3 linked regions of the Callithrix jacchus genome follow. The protein of the gene in region 1 purifies or fractionates together with the protein of each later gene. This does not show direct contact. Links are inferred from orthologs where the notes say so. Each region holds a gene or a part of one and is shown on either strand. Other genes may lie near its edges. The genes, in order: NEURL4, CEP290 and ZNRD2.

Evidence for each region.
Region 2: the proteins of NEURL4 (region 1) and CEP290 purify together in Homo sapiens (affinity purification with mass spectrometry; 3 studies listed by BioGRID and IntAct, with this or other methods). This does not show direct contact. The link is inferred for Callithrix jacchus from reciprocal best matches to the Homo sapiens genes NEURL4 and CEP290.
Region 3: the proteins of NEURL4 (region 1) and ZNRD2 purify together in Homo sapiens (co-immunoprecipitation; 4 studies listed by BioGRID and IntAct, with this or other methods). This does not show direct contact. The link is inferred for Callithrix jacchus from reciprocal best matches to the Homo sapiens genes NEURL4 and ZNRD2.

The regions. Positions count from the first base shown.
Region 1 is NC_133506.1:73,806,712-73,812,896, forward strand, and holds part of NEURL4 (neuralized-like protein 4), read right to left. Parts: coding exon 6,119-6,185; intron 5,910-6,118; coding exon 5,844-5,909; intron 5,697-5,843; coding exon 5,398-5,696; intron 5,236-5,397; coding exon 5,124-5,235; intron 5,032-5,123; coding exon 4,943-5,031; intron 4,411-4,942; coding exon 4,338-4,410; intron 4,171-4,337; coding exon 3,909-4,170; intron 3,685-3,908; coding exon 3,503-3,684; intron 3,201-3,502; coding exon 3,115-3,200; intron 2,991-3,114; coding exon 2,828-2,990; intron 2,740-2,827; coding exon 2,541-2,739; intron 2,450-2,540; coding exon 2,373-2,449; intron 2,286-2,372; coding exon 2,207-2,285; intron 1,848-2,206; coding exon 1,672-1,847; intron 1,592-1,671; coding exon 1,460-1,591; intron 157-1,459; coding exon 11-156; intron 1-10. UniProt on the Homo sapiens protein: Promotes CCP110 ubiquitination and proteasome-dependent degradation. By counteracting accumulation of CP110, maintains normal centriolar homeostasis and preventing formation of ectopic microtubular organizing centers.
Region 2 is NC_133510.1:93,052,128-93,058,312, reverse strand, and holds part of CEP290 (centrosomal protein of 290 kDa), read right to left. Parts: intron 5,284-6,185; coding exon 5,214-5,283; intron 4,915-5,213; coding exon 4,868-4,914; intron 2,557-4,867; coding exon 2,413-2,556; intron 1-2,412. UniProt on the Homo sapiens protein: Involved in early and late steps in cilia formation. Its association with CCP110 is required for inhibition of primary cilia formation by CCP110.
Region 3 is NC_133511.1:122,652,672-122,658,279, reverse strand, and holds ZNRD2 (protein ZNRD2), read right to left. Parts: upstream 3,219-5,608; 5' UTR 3,186-3,218; coding exon 3,167-3,185; intron 3,076-3,166; coding exon 2,924-3,075; intron 2,798-2,923; coding exon 2,713-2,797; intron 2,297-2,712; coding exon 1,953-2,296; 3' UTR 1,919-1,952; downstream 1-1,918. Other genes in the region: FAM89B (leucine repeat adapter protein 25), read right to left, coding at 51-329, 713-1,003. UniProt on the Homo sapiens protein: Might play a role in mitosis. Antigenic molecule. Could be a centromere-associated protein. May induce anti-centromere antibodies.

The sequences.
Region 1 (6,185 bases):
TACAGCCTACCTCAAAGACTTCCTCAGCCCTGAGTTCCTTGGTGCTGAAGACAAGGCCATGAGCATAGCCAGCAGCACGTACTGCCCTCGTGCCATCCTCCTCTAGAGTGACGTTCTTGCCACAAGTACTGTGGAACCGGTGAGCCACGCCAGCCACTGTGAAAACATGGCACCAGAGGAAGGGGTAGGATTGCGGTGGCAAGTTTCAGATAGAACACAGAGCAAAGTTTTCAGATGAAACAAGATGTGGACACCAAGTCCCCATCTGCATCTGCCATTACTCCTCAGGGCCTCCTGACACCTCTTTATTCTTTTTTTTTTTTTTTTTTTGAGACGGAGTCTTGCTCTGTCACCAGGCTGGAGTGCAGTGGCACAATCTTGGCTCACTGCAATCTCTGCCTCCTGGGTTCAAGCAATTCTTCTGCCTCAGCCTCCTGAGCAGCTGGGACCACAGGTACATGCCACCATGCCCACCTATTTTTTTGTAGTTTTAGTAGAGATGCAGTTTCACCATGTTGGCCAGGATGGTCTCGATCTCTTGACCTCGTGATCCACCCGCCTCGGCCTCCCAAAGTGCTGGGATTGCAGGTGTGAGCCACCATGCCCGGCCTTTATTCTATTTTTTTTTTTTTTGAGGCGGAATTTCGCTCGTTACCCAGGCTGGAGTGCAATGGCGCGATCTCGGCTCACCGCAACCTCCAACTCCTGGGTTCAGGCAATTCTCCTGCCTCAGCCTCCCGAGTAGCTGGGATTACAGGCGTGCGCCACTATGTCCAGCTAATTTTTTGTATTTTTAGTAGAGACGGGTTTCACCATGTTGAAACAGGATGGTCTCGATCTCTTGACCTTGTGATCCACTTGCCTCGGCCTCCCAAAGTGCTGGGATTATAGGCGTGAGCCACCGTGCCTGGCCTTATTCTATTTTTTTTGAGGCAGGGTCTTGCTCTGTCACTCAGAGTGCAGTGGCACAATCATGGCTCACTGCAACCTTGACTTCCTGGACTCCAGTGATCCACCCACTTCAGCCTCCCAAGTAACTGGGACCACAGGTACACACCACCACACCTGCCTAATTTTTATACTTTAGTAGAGATGTGGTTTCATCATGTTTCCCAGCCTGGTCTTAAACTCTTGTGCTGGAGCAATCCACCCACCTTGACCTCCCAAAGTGCCGGGATTATAGGCGTGAGCTACTGTGCCTGGCCCTGACACCTCTTTTCATCATAGCAAGACTCATTTCCAAACCTGGCATGCTCAGCTTATGGTGTCCTGTCCAGGCTCTACGTGCCAGGTATAACCTCCCCATCATTGGCTGCTTGCCACCGTGAGCTGTCCCCTCCCTGGAGCTGTCGGCTACCCCAGCCAGCTGTCTTTGAACAGCCTCTCTAACCTGGAAGCCCTACTCCTCAGGCGCACAGCAGGCAAGCAGAGCCCATCCAGCCCCCACCCTGCCACACACCTGGGGAGTGTAGTGGGAAGGATTTCTCGGTGGCAGTGTTGCTGGTCGCCAGGCTGTTGTCCATGGGGCCGGTGGCATTGGTTATGGAAACTTGGACACATTGGCCATAGAGATCGACTACCGCGTACACCTCTGGGGAGGAGAAGGAAGGTCAGAAGCCTGACAGCCAGGGTGGTTTGGGCTGAGGGCAGCAGGCTGAAAGCCACAGTCACCTTTACCCGGAGGCAGGCCCGAGCATGCAGCGCCTTGGTCCTGGCCATTGATAAAGTAGTGCAGGTCACCCTTGGCAGTTCGCATCATGCCAATGCGCGCACCTGTGCCCAGCGCATCCAGGTCACACCCGTAATTGTTTCGCATTGTATTCCCATCTTGCATGATGGCTGTGCCACTGGGGAGATGGCAGAAGGGTGAGTCAGCCTGCCAGCTTCATCTTCACGTGGGCCCCTGCCCACTCCCTGCCTGTCAGAACCTTCCAGTGCCTGGGGCTGGGGTCTTGATCTGGGCGTAAGGCCCAATCCTATCTCCTTTGTCCCTGGGATCCTCTCAGGGAAAAGCAAGAACTACCTAAGAGAAAGGAGGATTGAGTCTCTGTGGGGCTGAGTAGAGATTCCCAGAATCCAAGGGAGGGGACAGGCAGATCCCCTAGGTCTGCCACTGCCCACAGCCACCATAGGCCTAAACCTTGCTTCCCTGATCCCAGCCAGTTCCACCCAGCCCCAAGCTGGCCCCAAAAGCAGGAAGCCCGACCTCAGCATCCATGTGTCATAGTCAATGTCTGTCATAGTGTTGGGGAATTCCAGGTCTTCAGGGCGAATGGCAGTCACTCCTGGGAAGAGGCAGGGGTAGGTCAAGGCTGCTCCCCCAAGGCACAGGCATCCAGCAGCCCCCCAACACACACACAGATGCCCCTCACCAGCCTCAATGGAGCCTGACCAGCGGTCCACCATCTTCTGAATGACAATTTCAAACAGCTCTCCATCCCGCAGGGCCCTGCCAGGGAGATTGGTGATCAGAGAGGCTCTGCTTGGGTGGCTGAGGCTAGGCAATAGGAAGGTGGGGACATGAACGTCAAGAGACTGACCGATTGGAGATGACGATGGCGTCATTAAACTCGCTGCGGCAGTTGTGGCGGAGGGCAGTGCGGCCCCCATTAGTGATGACTGCATTACTGCCGTGCAGCTGGTGGAAGCGCAGGTCAGAGCCCCCAGCCCCTGAGGACGGGGAGCTTGGAGACACCTGGTTGTTCCCTTCAGGGAGTGGCTCAGGAACTGGAGGCACCTCTGTAAAAGTGGACATCACTCTTAAGTCTCTAGGTGTCTCTAAGACCTCCCAAGGCCACCCTAAGCCCCAGCCCAGCCCGGCCCTCACCCACGTCGTCCACAATGGTGGCCTGGGCCGCCTGGCCATAGAGATCGACGACAGCATAGACGCCCGGAGGCACGTTCCAGGCAGCAGGGCCCTGAGTCATCCCATTGACAAAGAAGTGGAGAGTCCCATCTTCCCGCCGCACCACGCCCACCGTGTCCCCTGCCTTGGAAGAAGGGGGTGCTGGAGTGAGGAGTCAGGCAGAGTTCCTGCCGGGGCTGGTCCTGCGTCAGCCCCACGGTGCCTGTGAAGCCTGCTGCGGCTGCCCGGCAGCGCACCTACTTTCCCACCTTGAGGCGGTCCAGGTTGTGCCCGTATTCATCCAGGATGGTCGTCCCATTGTGCATCACCCCATTCCCAGTCATCATCCAGGTCCCTGGGAGGACAAGGAGCAGTAGGGGACATGAGAGGACACGCAGGGCTCCTCTCCTTTCCATAGTAGCACCTATAGGACTCCCAAGCCGACAGCCCACCTTGCATTTTCTTGGACAACTGGCTTTCCTCCCTGAACAGGACAAGAAAACTCTGCAGCTCCCTGCCCACAGGGCACTCTGTAGCCATTGAATGAGTGGTCACAAGAGTGACAAGTAAAAAAGGGGCTGGAGAACTAGTGCCAGGGCTCTGGGAATAGCTTCCCCCCAAAACCCTATCCTGGCCCTGTCCTTCCTGGGAGCTCACCAGAGCGCAAGTTGGTCATGGTAGAGGGCAACTGGAGGTAGGCAGGGTTGTGGGTGGTGACGCCAATTTCAATGGAGCCAGCCCATTTGTCCACCATCTTGTCGATGCGCACCTGGAACACCTCTCCATCCCGCAGGGCTCGGCTGCTCAGCACCACGCCATGATTGAAGTCATCGGTGGCACTAAGGGCACAGTGAGTGGAGAGTCAGATCCCCAGTACATGCTCTCAGTGTGCCAAGGCTTCAACCGGCAATGCCTGCCAACACTTACTGCCCCAAGCCAAAGAGCTAAACCTCAACCTCCAGGAAGCTCCCCCGCCAGGCTCCCTCTGCCTTCCACTTCCTTGTCCCACCCCTCTCCCATTCAAACCCCTTCTTCAGGCTTCTGCCCACTCCATGGGCCATACTGGGGCCTCAGGGCAGTGCGTCCCTCGTGGGTGATGGCTGCCTTCTGGCCACAGTTGGGGTGGAAGAGCAGGCGCTCGGGTTCCGCCTGGGCAGGAGCAGCTCGGCGGAGAGCACCCTCAGGGGACAGTGCCCGTAGGATGGCGTTGTTCCGGCGGAGACGGTCACTGTGGTTGTTATTGTGGACGATGGTCACCTTCACTGCCATCCCATACAAGTCCACCACACCATATACCACTGGGGGTGTCAAGGGGGTCGCCACTCCTGTGGCAGGAAAGTACAGGGGTGCGGGAGTGGGCAGGGAGAATGAGAGGAGAAAGTCACACACAGGGAGACCAGGCACCAAAGAGAAGCAGGATGATGAGGTAAGGACCCCAATCCCAGCCCCACTGAATGCCCTAGCCCAGAGGCCCTCTCTGAGCAGCCCTTACCCTGATCGATGCCATTGATGAAGAAGTGCAGGGCCGAGTTGGACTTCCTTGTGAGACCAATGTGGTCACCCTCCTACTCAAAGAAGAAAAATAGTTCAGAGGATTCCCAGGGCCTGCCCAGTATCCCACTCCGCATGGGAACAACTCCAGAAAGTATTCACCAGAGTTCAGATCACCCTCAAGGACAGGTCCTGGGCCCTTGTTTTCCAGATATGACAGTTTCTACATTTCCTCAGTGCTCAACATGAGTCAGGCACTGAGTTAAACCACCTCACAGACATCAGCTTCGACAAGTCTCAGCCTATGGAATCAGCCTACTTGGAGGCTCATTTTAGAGACTGCAGTGAATGGAGGAATAACCAAAGAGGGTAAGCTTCTTGCCTTAGTTTGCCACTACAAATGGGCAAACAGGAAGAGGAATTCAACCATCTGACTCCAAAACCTGAGTGCTAAATTCTTGGGCAACTCAGCCTACCTAGAACCTTTAGGTAGACATAGGGACTTGCTCCAGGTCACAGAGAAGAGACCCTGCTTGGTGCCCAGGCAGGGACAGAGTATCTATGGCTCCTCTGGAGAGTGACCCAAGGCTCTGTGCCCACCCTCACCTGCAACTCATCCAGACTGAATTCGCAGTACTCCCGGCGGGTACCCTTGCCATTGGTCAGAATTCCACAGCCACTCATCATGATGGTGCCTAGGTGACGATGGACACTCAGGTTGGGGTATGGGCTTCCTTCCTCTCAGCAACACCAGGCCTGCACCCCCACCCCTGCCCAGGGCTAGTACCTGACTGGAGGTTGGTCATGGTGGCTGGATACTCCAAACTGTTGGGGTTGTGGGTGGTGACACCAATCTCAATGGAGCCTGACCACTTATCAACAAGCTTGTCGATACGGATCTGGCATTGAGGGAAAGAAGGGAAAAGCAGGGAATATAAATGCATAAAGGGACCTTCAGCCCTTGGTTCTTCCCCAGGGCCCACCCTCCTAGCATCAAGGGCCAAGCCCCATCTTTAGCTCCCAGGGACAAGGCGACAACCAGACCACAGGACTTTGCACACCTCAAACATCTCATTGTCCCGAAGTGGGCGGTTGGTCATGACAACCCCATTGTTGAATTCATCCAGGGGCCGCCTGCGCTCAGCTGTTTTATTATTGTTGCTGAGTTTGATGAGGGTCCCACACTTTTCATGAAATAGCAGGGCATCGTTGGAAGTGAGAATGGGAGAGGTGGCAGCACCGCTAGACCCCAGGCCTTCCCCTGCCGGTGGGGAGCTCAGGTTCACATTCAGGAGCCCTCCACTGTAGGCAGACAGGATGGTGTTGCTCACCACCTCGGACAGCTCCATGCTGGCGAAGTCTATAGCAGCAGGATGGAAGAAGAAAGCTGGGATGAGGCTCTATGCCCCCAGGCTTGGTGCCTCTCTCTGTACCCCTTCTTCTGAGGGCCTTCCCTTGTCCACTTCACTTCCCACTCCCCTTCCCTGGGCCTCCCCAAAGCCCTCACCATTATGCGACTCAAGGCTGTTAGGAAACGTCTCCGGCCGGGCCTGCGCTGGGGACACCATGAAGGCTGGGGACCAGGTAGGATGGGAGGGGAATAAGGGTTCAGTCCCTAATTCAGGGCCCACAGCCAGGAGACCCCCCATCTTCTAGCTCCCGCTCTCCCATTCAACAGACTTGGGGATCAGAATGGCCCTGCCCACACCCAGCCTGTCTTGTCACTGTTATTTCCCCCATTCCATCCCCACCCCGCCACCACTGCCCTAGCTCTTTTCTTACCTTCATCAGCAGAGGTCCCCTGTTCAGCCAAGGCAGAGTCTTCAAGGGGGGCCAAGGGCTCGAGGGG
Region 2 (6,185 bases), on another chromosome or scaffold:
TTTTATGAAAAGAACCAAATTCATCAAGGAACTGGCCCTTGCTTATTTCTCCAGAGGATCGTAAGAATTAAAACTGGGAAGGCAATTTAGCACAGACTCTTGAGTAAGACTGTTTTCAAATCCTATCATTACCACTTATAAGCTGTGTAACCATGGCAATTACCTTTCTTTGTCTCCATTTCTTCATCTGTATCATGGTAGAAATGACATTTCATATGATAAGTATGAAATAAGCAAAAATGAATTAATTCATATGAAGTGCCTGACACATAGTAAGGACTCCATGGAAGCTATTTTCACTTATATTCCAGTCAAAATGAATAACTGTAGCTTCCTAAATACTCCATAACATCTCTTACTTCTAGGTCTTAGCAAATGTGTTACCTTCTACCCAGAATGTTCTTTCTTTAACCACCATATACATTCTCATTCCTCTTACCAGTCTAACTTCTACTTCAGGTCTCAGTTCACAGATCACATCCTGAACCTTAAGACTGATTATGGCATCCCTCTCCAGAGTATCCCAGAATATGTCCTGATATATCTTCCTAAGTAACATATTATCACTATGTTATGCTTATTATTGACTGTAAATATCCTTGAGAAGCAGAACATAGTTGCCCACTATATCACTAGCAACTAGCACAGTCTCTGGTATGCTGTAAAGACTCACTAAAACTCAATGACTGGTTAAGGGCAAAGAAGTAATTACCAAAGCAACTATATCCGTATTTCATCTCAAGGAACTTAGCAGCCGAAAAGGAACACAGGCCATATATTTAAGTTTTCTCTGTGTGAAACTATGAGTAAAGATAATAGTCTAAGATATAAATGGACAAGGTAGTTCTGATTAGCTAAGAGTGTGTGGTATGAATGATAAGTCAACTGATACAGGCCTAAAGAGAAGAATAAAAGTCAAGAAAACCACAGGCATTCCCCTAGGCAATTCTACCAGTGAATATCATAAGTTAGATCCTTTATAACTATTAAAAAATCCACATGTCTGTTATGTTTTGCAGAGTTAACTAACCAGACAATGCTCTAAGAACTTGTTCTTAACATTTAAGTGGCATCAATCCATACTTTCTCTACCACGTTGTTTTGATAGCTTTTATATGGTTCTTTAAAATTTTGGAGTAAAATAGATACATGTAAGAAATTTGTAAGGAATAGTTTCCCTTAAAAATCAATTTATGATAGATGCTCTTATTATTATTGTTGTTTGAGACAGAGTCTCATTTCTGTTGCCCAGGCTGGAGTGCAGTGGTGCAATCTCGGCTCACTGCAACCTCTTGCCTCCTGGGTTCGAGCAACTCTTCTGCCTCAACTACCCAACTAGCTGGGATTACAGGCACTCCCCACTAGGTTCGACTAATTTTTTTTGTATTTTTAGTGGAGATGGGGTTTTTGCCATGTTGGCCAGGCTGGTTTTGAACTCTGGGTCTCAAGTGAGATTGATTCTCTTAAATAGCATATCACTGTTTTCTTAAAATGTATGACCCTCTATTTCTGAGAGAATAATGAACAAAATGAAATAAACAGAATATAACATAATAATGACTTAAAGGACACAAAGGTAAAAAATGTTTCTGAGTATAAGAGACAGGACAGTTACCACATGTAGGCACCAAATTTTACTAAGTTTACTAATAGCTGAGGTGAAATAAAAAACAAGTAAGTGTTAAATAGAAATGTTAATAAATAAATAAAACATTAAATAAGAAGCTGAGGTAAAATAGGAAATTTTCTTCAAGAAAATACAAATTTACCTGCAAAAAACTTTTTTTCCAAAACTAAATCCCAGGGAACACTGCAAAAATTATTAGTTTACAACAAGGAATAACATGAGTTAATAAAAACTATGTATTAAACATGTTATTTTAAATATCATTGATAAAATGTTGAGATTAACACTTTTCAAAAACAATATATATATATCTCATATATAAGGATACAACCAAAAACAAGAAATTTAATTAAACATTATTGAATGTATCATCAAAAGATTCATTTCCAAATCTACTAATCATATAAATACATTGAAATAAACAAATATAACTTTTATGCAAAATAAACTATGATACTAAGATCACTTCTTTATGCAAGTCTATTAGTTTCTTGACACTAATCTTCCAGACAAAAGCATCAATTTTAGGTAGTAAGTGTGATATATCCTGAGAAAAATGTACCTCCAAATATAAAGAATTAATCTTCAAGTCATATTCACTAAAAGTACCTGTTCCATTATATTTTAAAATTTGTGATGACAAAATGAACAGTGTTATAAAATCTTATAAGTGTACATCATTCCTCAAATATAACATACAATACAAAAATTGATATTGTTACCAATAATTATAAAAAGCCAGGTAACTTGAACAGTGAAGATTCATGGAAAAAAAAGTGCTTTACTTGCTCATTAACTTTCTTCTCTTTCTCCAACTCCTTTTCCATGTCCTCCAATTCTCTATCTTTTCGTTCTAATTGCTTTTCAAGTTGGCGAATTTCATCACGTAAAAACCGAGTATCCCGACCACCTGCAGACCGCTGAGCCATCTCAAAGTAATAAACCCAAAGTATAAATTATATTATATTTTGAAGTTCAAATGATTCAACAATAAGCAACTTATCTTGACTTTAAATTTTCATTATATTTCAGTGCAGATATTTAAAATCATATTAAGAATCTTTTTTTTTTAATTTAACTTACCTAAGCGTTAGTTCACAGCTAGTAAGTCTTTAAACTTCTCCTGAGCCACCCAGAGCTACAAAGAATTGACTGTTAATCATTCTGTTGTAACCACTGGCCAACAGGTAGCAGACTAAAGGCAAAGGTCCTAAGCCGCAGAGATCTGGAACCCGTGTACGAACCATGAGAAACTCCGTCGCTGTTAGTGAAGTTTAGTGCCTTAACCTGCCCTTTCTCTCATATCATGCACTATTTAGACCAGTGCTGCCCAACAGGACTTTCTAGGATAATAGACATGCTCTCTCTGCTGTTCAGTTCAGTAGCCACTTGTTACATGTAGCTATGTTTGGGTATTTGAAGTGTAGCTACTGTAACTGAAGAACTAAATTTTTCATTTTAATTTTAACAAATAGAAATATAAATAGCTAGTGTTAGTGCCACTTTACTGAACAACTCAGGTTTCATTTATCTTTAAGATTTGTAGCCAACTAAATCCATTTTATTTCATATTCTTGTTAATTTAGGTCATGTCCCAGAACATCAAATCATTTGGTCATCTAACCTGTCTCACATTTATCTCTTCACCTTATAGTTCTGTTTTTCCTCTACCTTAACCAAATTTTTCACACTCTTTCTCTCCTTCAAAAAGCATTCCCTGTGCTAAAGTCTTCTTCCAAGATAAATATTTCACAACCTCAGATTATTTACTGAATCATCCTTTCCATCTCCTTGCCTTAGCTGCAATTTGGATCCTTTAGGATACTAATGCCCTTGGAACTCTTTCAGTTGGAAGGTGCTCATTCTTTCACAGCCCATATACATTAGGGTCAGGAGGAGGTGTTGGTACTTCTAGGTTTACTCTACCCTGCAACTTCACGTGATCATTCCTATCATTCCTCCATCATCCTATGAAAACCTCAGCTGCTTTCTCACAAGATATCCAGCTCTCCATCTTTACCTACTCATGGTAGCAGCAAACCACCAACTTCCCAGTGACTCTGCAAAATGTACTGGGAATTTAAGCATGTGCCTCACAGACGTTCATCAAATCCCCAAGCAATTTCCACATAACTTTTGTTCTAGTCTATTTTTTTTTTCTTGTTTCTTGAATTCACTATCATCTCTCACTGACACACCAACATCAAATCCTTGTCCAATCAGAAACATTCTTTCAATTATTCCCACTATGCCTGTCCTTTGACCTCACAGGACACTAATCCCTCGACTTCTCACTCCTTATCCCTACCCTTCTGCCCACCCAACCCCAATCTTGACTTTCTTATCTATTCAGTTGAGACTTCATAATCACCACTTCAACCACTTTCCTACCAATATCTTCAAAACTGTCTTACTCTTCTATTGTATAGCAGGTGCCTATCTAAACATTAACACAGAATTGATTCAACTCCATAATTCATTTAATGAGTATTTATTGAAAGTACTTGGCATTTTTCCAGGAGCTGGATATACAATCAAAATAACAAGTCATCCAAGTTCAGAGAATTAACAAATAAAAGAATCAGGACTAGAACTCAAATCTGTCTGACTCCAGATCCCCAACTCTCCAGTCTTTTCTCCATTACATTTCAAATTTTATCTGATTTTCTTAAAATGTGACCACACCATCTCCCACTCTTTCTAACAGATGACATCATCACTGACCTCTCAACTTCCAGGCACTATGCCTACAAACATAAAGGCTTCTACATACATCTACTGTTCCTCCCCTCATCTACTCTTCCTTCTCTCCTAACACAAGGAAAAGGGTATTCCTTCTTTCAAAGGCTGATCCGTTTCAAAAGCTGATCCATCCCTACCTTTTCAGGAATCTGAATTTAGTTCCTCAACAATACATTCATACTTTAGCCCTCAGCTTTGTAAAAAATTACTTCTATAAAACCCTTTGGTCATTATTCCCCAACTCCCCACCCACGCTCCACCTCAGTTACTAGTAAGCTTTCTATGTATTTCCCAAGACTGCAAGCTCCATATAGCAGTTAACTGTTTTAATTTCATTCACAACTGTATGCTCAATCCGAGAATATATACTGAAAAAGCAAATAACCATGATTACTATCATCCTTATAACTTTTCCAGCCAATAATAATTTTAAAATTTGAAAACAATGCAAAATAAAATTTATGACAATTACATTCTAGGAAATACAAAAAGACATACCTCCAGTTCATTTTCCAGTTTCATTACTTTAGTTTTTAATTGATTTTCTGTTTTTTAAAAAAAAAGACAAATGTTTTCATACATTAGCTACCACAAAACAAACTTTTAAATAAATTTAAATAACAAAATTAATTCTTTTAAAAGACTCCATCATGACTATAAGGTATCAAAAAGAATTATATGGCAGATCCATAAAATAGGAGTCTAGAATTGCTTATTATTAAGTAAATGTTATATATTAAAAATAAACTATATACATCTTATAGAATAAATTTGATTTTCTACAGCTTAATGAACACATGGAATTTATTATTTAATACCATAAACTTTTTTCCAAGTTGCTTACCAAATTTTGCTTGTTCTTCTCCAGCTTTTTCTACTTCTTCCAAAGCCAGCTCTACTTCTTGAGCTTTCATCTAAACATTAAAAAAAGGTTATTTCAATATGCCTTTGTACTAGAATGTAAGCACTGAAAACAAAAATTGTATTTATTATGATTCTTAGTGTCAGCAATGGGGGGCACATGGCGATTTTCAGTAAATATTTGTTAAATAAATACATAATTTTTCTTTCTTTTTTTTTTTTTTTTTTTTTGAGACAGGGCCTCACTTTGTCACCCAGGCTGGAGTGCAGCGACACAATCTCAGCTCACTGCAACCTCTGCCTCCTAGGCTCAAGCAAACTTCCCACTTCAGTCTCCTGAGTAGCTGGGACTACAGGTGCATACCACCATGATCAGCAAGACTTTAAATTTTTTCGTAGAGACAAAGTCTCACTGTATTATTCGCCGTATTATGCAGGCCAGTCTCAAACTCCTAGGCTCAAGCAATTCTCCTGCCTTAGCAACCCAAAGTGCTGGGATTACGGACGTGAGGCAGTAATCCAGGCAACTTTCTTACTTTCTTACTTAAGATTATAATTTCTATTTTTAATAGCATGAAATATTTTTGATTCTCCCTTTTACCTCAAGTCTTAAGTCTTACATCCAGTAATACAACATCTCCCTTTGTAATTTTTTTCACTACTTTTTTTCTGTTCCAATTGTTATTATTCTAACACATAATTTCATGTTTAAACTCCTCTATAATGTGATGTCTATATAGCTCCAGTAATCCTTCTATTTGTCATATATTATATATTGTTTTGCCTTCCTAAGGCATATTTTTGTACCTATCAACTGTGGTTCAGAAACCTTTATTGCCTTCTCAATTGCTGGTAGCATAAACTATATCTTTAAGGCCCTCAACAGTCTCTATCAAAGTACCTACCCAAGATTTGTTTTCTCTACAGCCTGCTACAAACTTGCTGCACCTTGTCT
Region 3 (5,608 bases), on another chromosome or scaffold:
GGGGTTCTGAGCCTTTTGCAGGGGCGCATGCCCATCTGCCCCCCAGCTCTTCAGAGGCTGATGTGAAAGGCATCCTGCAGCCACTGGTCACGGGCATTGTGCGTCTGGGGCACAGTGAGGGGTGGCGGGTCAGGGGGCAGGCTGGCATCAGGAGGCTCATCGTCATCAGACAGGCCCGCATCAGGTGGGTAGGAGCTGTCTGAATGGAGGGATGATGACAGGTCCTGGCAGAAGCTCAGGTCTTGGCACAGGTGTTTGTAGTCCTGGATTGATTCGTACAGGCCCCACAGCTGGCACAACAGGGACATGTCCAACTGCCGCAGCCCCACCTGCAGACAACTGAGGGTGGGCTGGAGTTGGGGTCCAGGCCACCCCAGCCCAGCCCCATGCCCTGGAATCCTGGGCCCATCTTCCCAGCACCTTCCTAAACAAAGTTTTTGTGGACGTCAGGCACCACCTGCGAGCTTTGCAACTTTAGGCAAGTCCTGACCGTCTCCTAAAAAAATGGGGTTCTCATGCATTTAGCGGGATGAAATGAAGTAACGTCATCAAGACGTCTGGAAATATAGGGTAACTACTGCCGTAATTGGTAACTATCACTAATTATCGTTCCCATAACCCTTGGAACCCGACCTGTGCCTGCAAGTTCTCTGAGACCCAGGCAGCTTGTCTGGGTGTCTGCGCTCCGCTGGTCCGGCGCCCACCCACTCACCATCTCCTTGCGCAGCGCGGCCAGTGCCGAGTCGAGGTTGACAGGACGACGAGGGCCGGCTGCGGGTCCCGCGTTGGCGGCACCCGCGGCGTGGCGGGGCCCATCCGGGGCGCGGGCGGCGCGGCTCAGTTCGTCGTGGATGCGGCTGCGCTGGCTGTAGATGCGCTCCAGCTCCCGCCACGAGCCCCCGCTCGCGTTAAGGAGGCCGCTGAGGCCGCGCGGCAGCGGTGGGAGCCCGGCCAGGGCGCAACCCGCGCCGCTTGACGCCTCGGCCGAGGGCAGCCCGTTCATGGCCGGGCCGGCGATGCCACCTTCTTCCTTTCAACGCTCTGCCCGGGCGGCCGCCCGCAGGCCCCGCACCCCGCGGTCCCGCCGGAGCCAGCCGCCGCCCGCAGGCCGCGCTTTGTTCCTTCCCAAGCTCCTCAGACTCCGCCTCTGCCCCACCCCCTCCGCATGGGCCGGGCCTCTCTTAAAAAGGCAACAGCTGTGGAACCACTCGCGCAAAGCTGAGAAAAGGCAGCGGGGCACCCACCCAAGGGGAGATGGAAAAGGGAGGCGGAGAGGGGGAAAGGCCAAAAGGGGCAGGCGTGGTTCCTTCGCGGTTCCTTTTGCTGCCTCGTCTCCCTGCCGCGCCCCGATCCCCGCCTCCCCCCCGCCCCCAGTTCTGTCCATTACCCTCCCAAGGAAAATGATCTAACAGTGGAGTCAGGAGACTGGCAAGTCCACACTTGGTGCCTAACGTGCCCCTTGACGCTGGGGTCACCACAAACTCCTGTCGGTCGGTGTCTGAGTACCTGGGGTGGGCATGGCTGGGATAGGCTGATAGGGTCAGAATGCTCAGGGGAAGAGAGGATTCTATCAAGAGGATTGGAACCCAAAATCTCACTTCCAGGTGGGGAATGGGCACCGGATGGCGGAAGAGGTTGCAGAGGTGCTGCCAGAGACAAGGGTAGGGTCCAGCCCTCTGGCTCCTACCTTTGAAGAGGCTATGTCCTCTTCTTGAGAAAAGGGGCATCACATAGTCCTCTGGCTAATCCCTCATCCTGACTGGGGAAACTGAGCAGAAACAAGCTCAATTCATCTCAGGGCGTCAAGAAGAGCAGAGAGTGGAGAGGTGAGAGGCCAAAAGTTGAAAAAAGTGAGTGGAGCTGCGGCTGGCATGCACACTCAGAACCAGGAAAAGAACAAACCACACAGAGGAACAGCTGTTTTTCTAGAGGGTTTTTCTCAGGGGCTACTCTCAGTGCTGCAGCTGCTGCAGGCTGCACAGGGCCTCCGCACACGCCCGGATAAGGCCACACAGCTGGATGCTAGTCTCCAGGGAGGTGCTAGCGCCCAGTTCAGCAGAGGCCCAGGTCAGCTTCTGCAAGAGGGCTGTCTGTGTGCAGGCCATGACATCTGCATTTGGAGGCACAGCAGGAGGGGGTGGTCCCTGGGCTGCCTTGAGCCCTGCTGCAGCTCCCTCACAGTGCTCTGGACGAGGTACTGGGGGCTGGGGTGCAGGTCGAGAGCCCAAGGCGGGCTCTGAGGCTGAGGCCAGCTGGTGCTCCCGAGCTTGGGAGAGGGCAGCCTGGGCATTCAGAGCTAAAAAGAGGAGAAAGTGAGTAGAATGGTCAGGATGCCTGGCCCACCTCAGCCCTGAGTCATCTCCTTTTCTGCTCTGCTCTTTCTGTGCTTGAGGTGTTTTCCCTGTCCCTCTATAAGGCAACTTATCCACTTTCTACTATGTATCACATTTATGCCCTAGCTTCAACTCTCCATCAGTACTGGGTCTGACTGAGCTCAGACTCTCGCGCAGTGGCTGGCACACAGAAGGTGCTTGCTGCTCTTACTGAGTGAATAGTCCTCTTTAAAGCCTAAAAGAGAAAACATTTTACCTCTGCACCACCCAGAGACTCCACTGTCACCTCCCAGGCCTACTGTTCTGCGGCCTCTATCACCACTCATCACGCTTCTCCGCCAATCACACACCTCTCCCGGATTATTTTTTTTACCCTCACCGGGATTATCTTTATCCACGTCTGAGTCGAGTTCTTGACAAGCAACGCAGTAGATTTTCCGCTGTTTGTCTTGGAGGAGGATCGTCTACGGACCAAAAAGCACATGGGGCCGGAATGAGACGCGGCGCTGAGGTCCAGAAGGGAGGGCCGAGGAAGGGCTGAATGGCCTGGCCTGCGCCCCATCCCGTCACTCTCCCGGGTCTCGCCTCACCCCGCAGTCCGCGCACGTCTCGCCCAGCATGCGGTAACCGCGCAGCAGACAGTCTCCCATGAGCCGGGAGATGCGATCTTGCCGCTCTCGTCGCGCCTGCAGCACCTTCGTCTCCGCCTCAGTTGGGGGTTCCCAGGAGAAGTCGTCGACTTCTGGGGAAGAGAGGCATAGAGACTGGGATCTTGCCGCAGGGGGCTGCCTCCCGTAGCCGCAGCCACAAGCCCCTGCCGCCCAAGTCCTCACCAGCGCCGTTCAGGGCCATGTTGCCGTGGCCGCCGCTGGGCTCACCAGAAATGACGTCTAAGCGGAGCGCCCTCCGCTGCGGCTCCGCCCCTTCCACAGCGGCCGCGGATCACGACGGAAATGACGCCTCATCGTGGTCCTCACACCTCGCTGAGTCCGCAGTGGGGCGTGTGGGCCGCTGCGGAGAACCTGCCTGGGGAACGCGTCGTCAGCCGGAATCCAGGGGACTGAAACTTTCGACGCTCGGGGCCTCGGGACGGGCGTCTCTGGTAATTCTGCTCCAAGTCGCAAGATCTGGGAGCCCTTTCCGTCGTGAATGAAGGGGACCACAGGTCCCCGCTGGCCTCCGCCTCCCCTGGGGTTTCCCTTTCGGCACAGGCGGGGCAGCAGCGTCCTCACAACCATCGCCACCCCAGTAATCACAGCGAGCGGCCCTTTGCGCGCGCGTGGAGCTTCCTCAGGCCTCAGTGCTTCTCACTTCGCCTGGCAAACCCGGCCCGGAGGGGAGCATTCTCGCTTTCCGCCTATTTCAAGACCCCTCCCCTTGTGCATGCTCGGTGTCCCAATCTGTCTCCCCGCTGCCTCCCGAGGCCTGGGACTGAAGCAAAGTCCGCCCCGAAGCCGACCTTTCTTTGAAGTTGAAACCCTCAAAAAGCCTGCGGACTGAATAGCGCTGTACCGGTCACGCGCATTCCGGTTACAGCCTCCCTTGAGTGCTGCGTGCTGGGCAGGGTCGGGTGGGGGCTTCTTACATACTCTTTCGACCGTTAGGCTCTTCTTGGGTGAGTTGCAAGTTAAAATTACCAGGGCTCTCTGAACAGGGACCTTGGTGCTTTTCTCTCTCTCCTGTGTTCTTTTTCCACATGCATCCTCTCCCTTATTAGGAGAAGCCAGACAGGGCAGGCAGGGGTCCTCAGATGTGGTCTGCACGGGCTCGAGGTCGTACACCAGGGCAGTGTTAAAGGAGCTGGACTTTCATAATTACATCAGCAATCCCCTCGCGATGGCACAGGCTCCCTCAATCTGACCTGAAGTGCCCTCCTCCTGGCCCCATCTTCCTCCCACGTAGTCCCCCTAGAACTGTCGTTTTTGCTGCCTCCTGCTCACCTAGAGAGCCCTGTGCCCCGTTCACATGTCCATCTACCAGCCAGGCTCCTGGGCAGCTGCGTACCTTAGAGTCTGTACTCCAAGTCGTTTCTGTCTGGCTGACTAGAGCTACCGTTTTTTTGTTGTTGTTGTTGTGTTTTGTTTGTATTTTTTTGCAGTGATGGGGTTTTGCCATGTTGCTTAGGCTGGTCTTCAACTCCTAGACTCAAGCGATCCTCCCACCTCGGCCTCCAGAAGTGCTGGGATTACAGCGGTGAACCACAGCACCCAGGCTTAGGCTGACTAGAGGAACTGTCTCTGAACCACCTCTTGGACTTCAGCCTGCATGCACAGACTCCCAGGTTATTACCATCTTCAGATCCCAGCCCTACTGTGAATTCTTCAGTGCACGAACTATTTTACCATCATGGCGATGTCCACTCAATTGTCTCTGCTGCCTGGCACCTACAAAGACCCTTAGATGAATCCTCCCACTTAATCTCTTCAATTTATTCCTCATGACAACCTTGTATGGGGTATTATCCCCCATGTATTCATTGCCGTGGGACTGTGTCAGGGCGCCCTGCCTTCATCCCAGGAGAGCAGATCTCACTTGGCCCCGGGGAGATGTATTTGGGAGGTGAGATATAAACACTGGGTGAACTGGGGGTGCTGGGGAGGTGGGTGGCATGAATGGCCCCCACTTCCTGGCCTGATCCCCGGATGGGCGAGGAAGAGGGAGGCCGAGGAGTTGGAAACACGGGCAAGGTCCACAGCTCCGTTCCAGCCCTGCTGAGTTTGACATGCTTGTGAGTCATTCCAAGTGGAGGCTCCTAAACTCGGGAGTCTGCAGCTCAGACAGGACGTCTGGCCTGGAGACAGAGGCTTGGGGTTATACAGGGGGCATCTACAACAGCGGGAAAGGGTGGGCTTACTGTGGAGAGAAGAGGGCCCAGGGTGCCCCAGGAAGGTCACCATTCCCAGGTCAGGCAGAGGAGGTGGAGTCATGCCAAAGACCAGAAAGAGCAGCTGGAGGGAGCAGAGAGGAAAACCAGGAGTGTGGTGGGGAAGAGCCAGGAGGAGGGTGTGGCCCTGAGTGTCTAAAGCTGCTGCCACTAGGATGGGGAGATGACAGTCCTTCTTCAGGGTCTGCGGAGGGGACTCAGTGACAGGGAGCAATGAAAGAGTCCCATCCAGTAGTGATGCCTGACTCAAATGATGCCCATCCAAATTCCTTCAGCTCTCAGGGCCTCTGCAGGAAGTAGCTGAAACCACTGGGGCTAGCGACTGAGGGACATCACTCCAGTGCACACTGCTCCATTGGCATAACCGGGGAGGGCTGCCCACGAGCTGTGG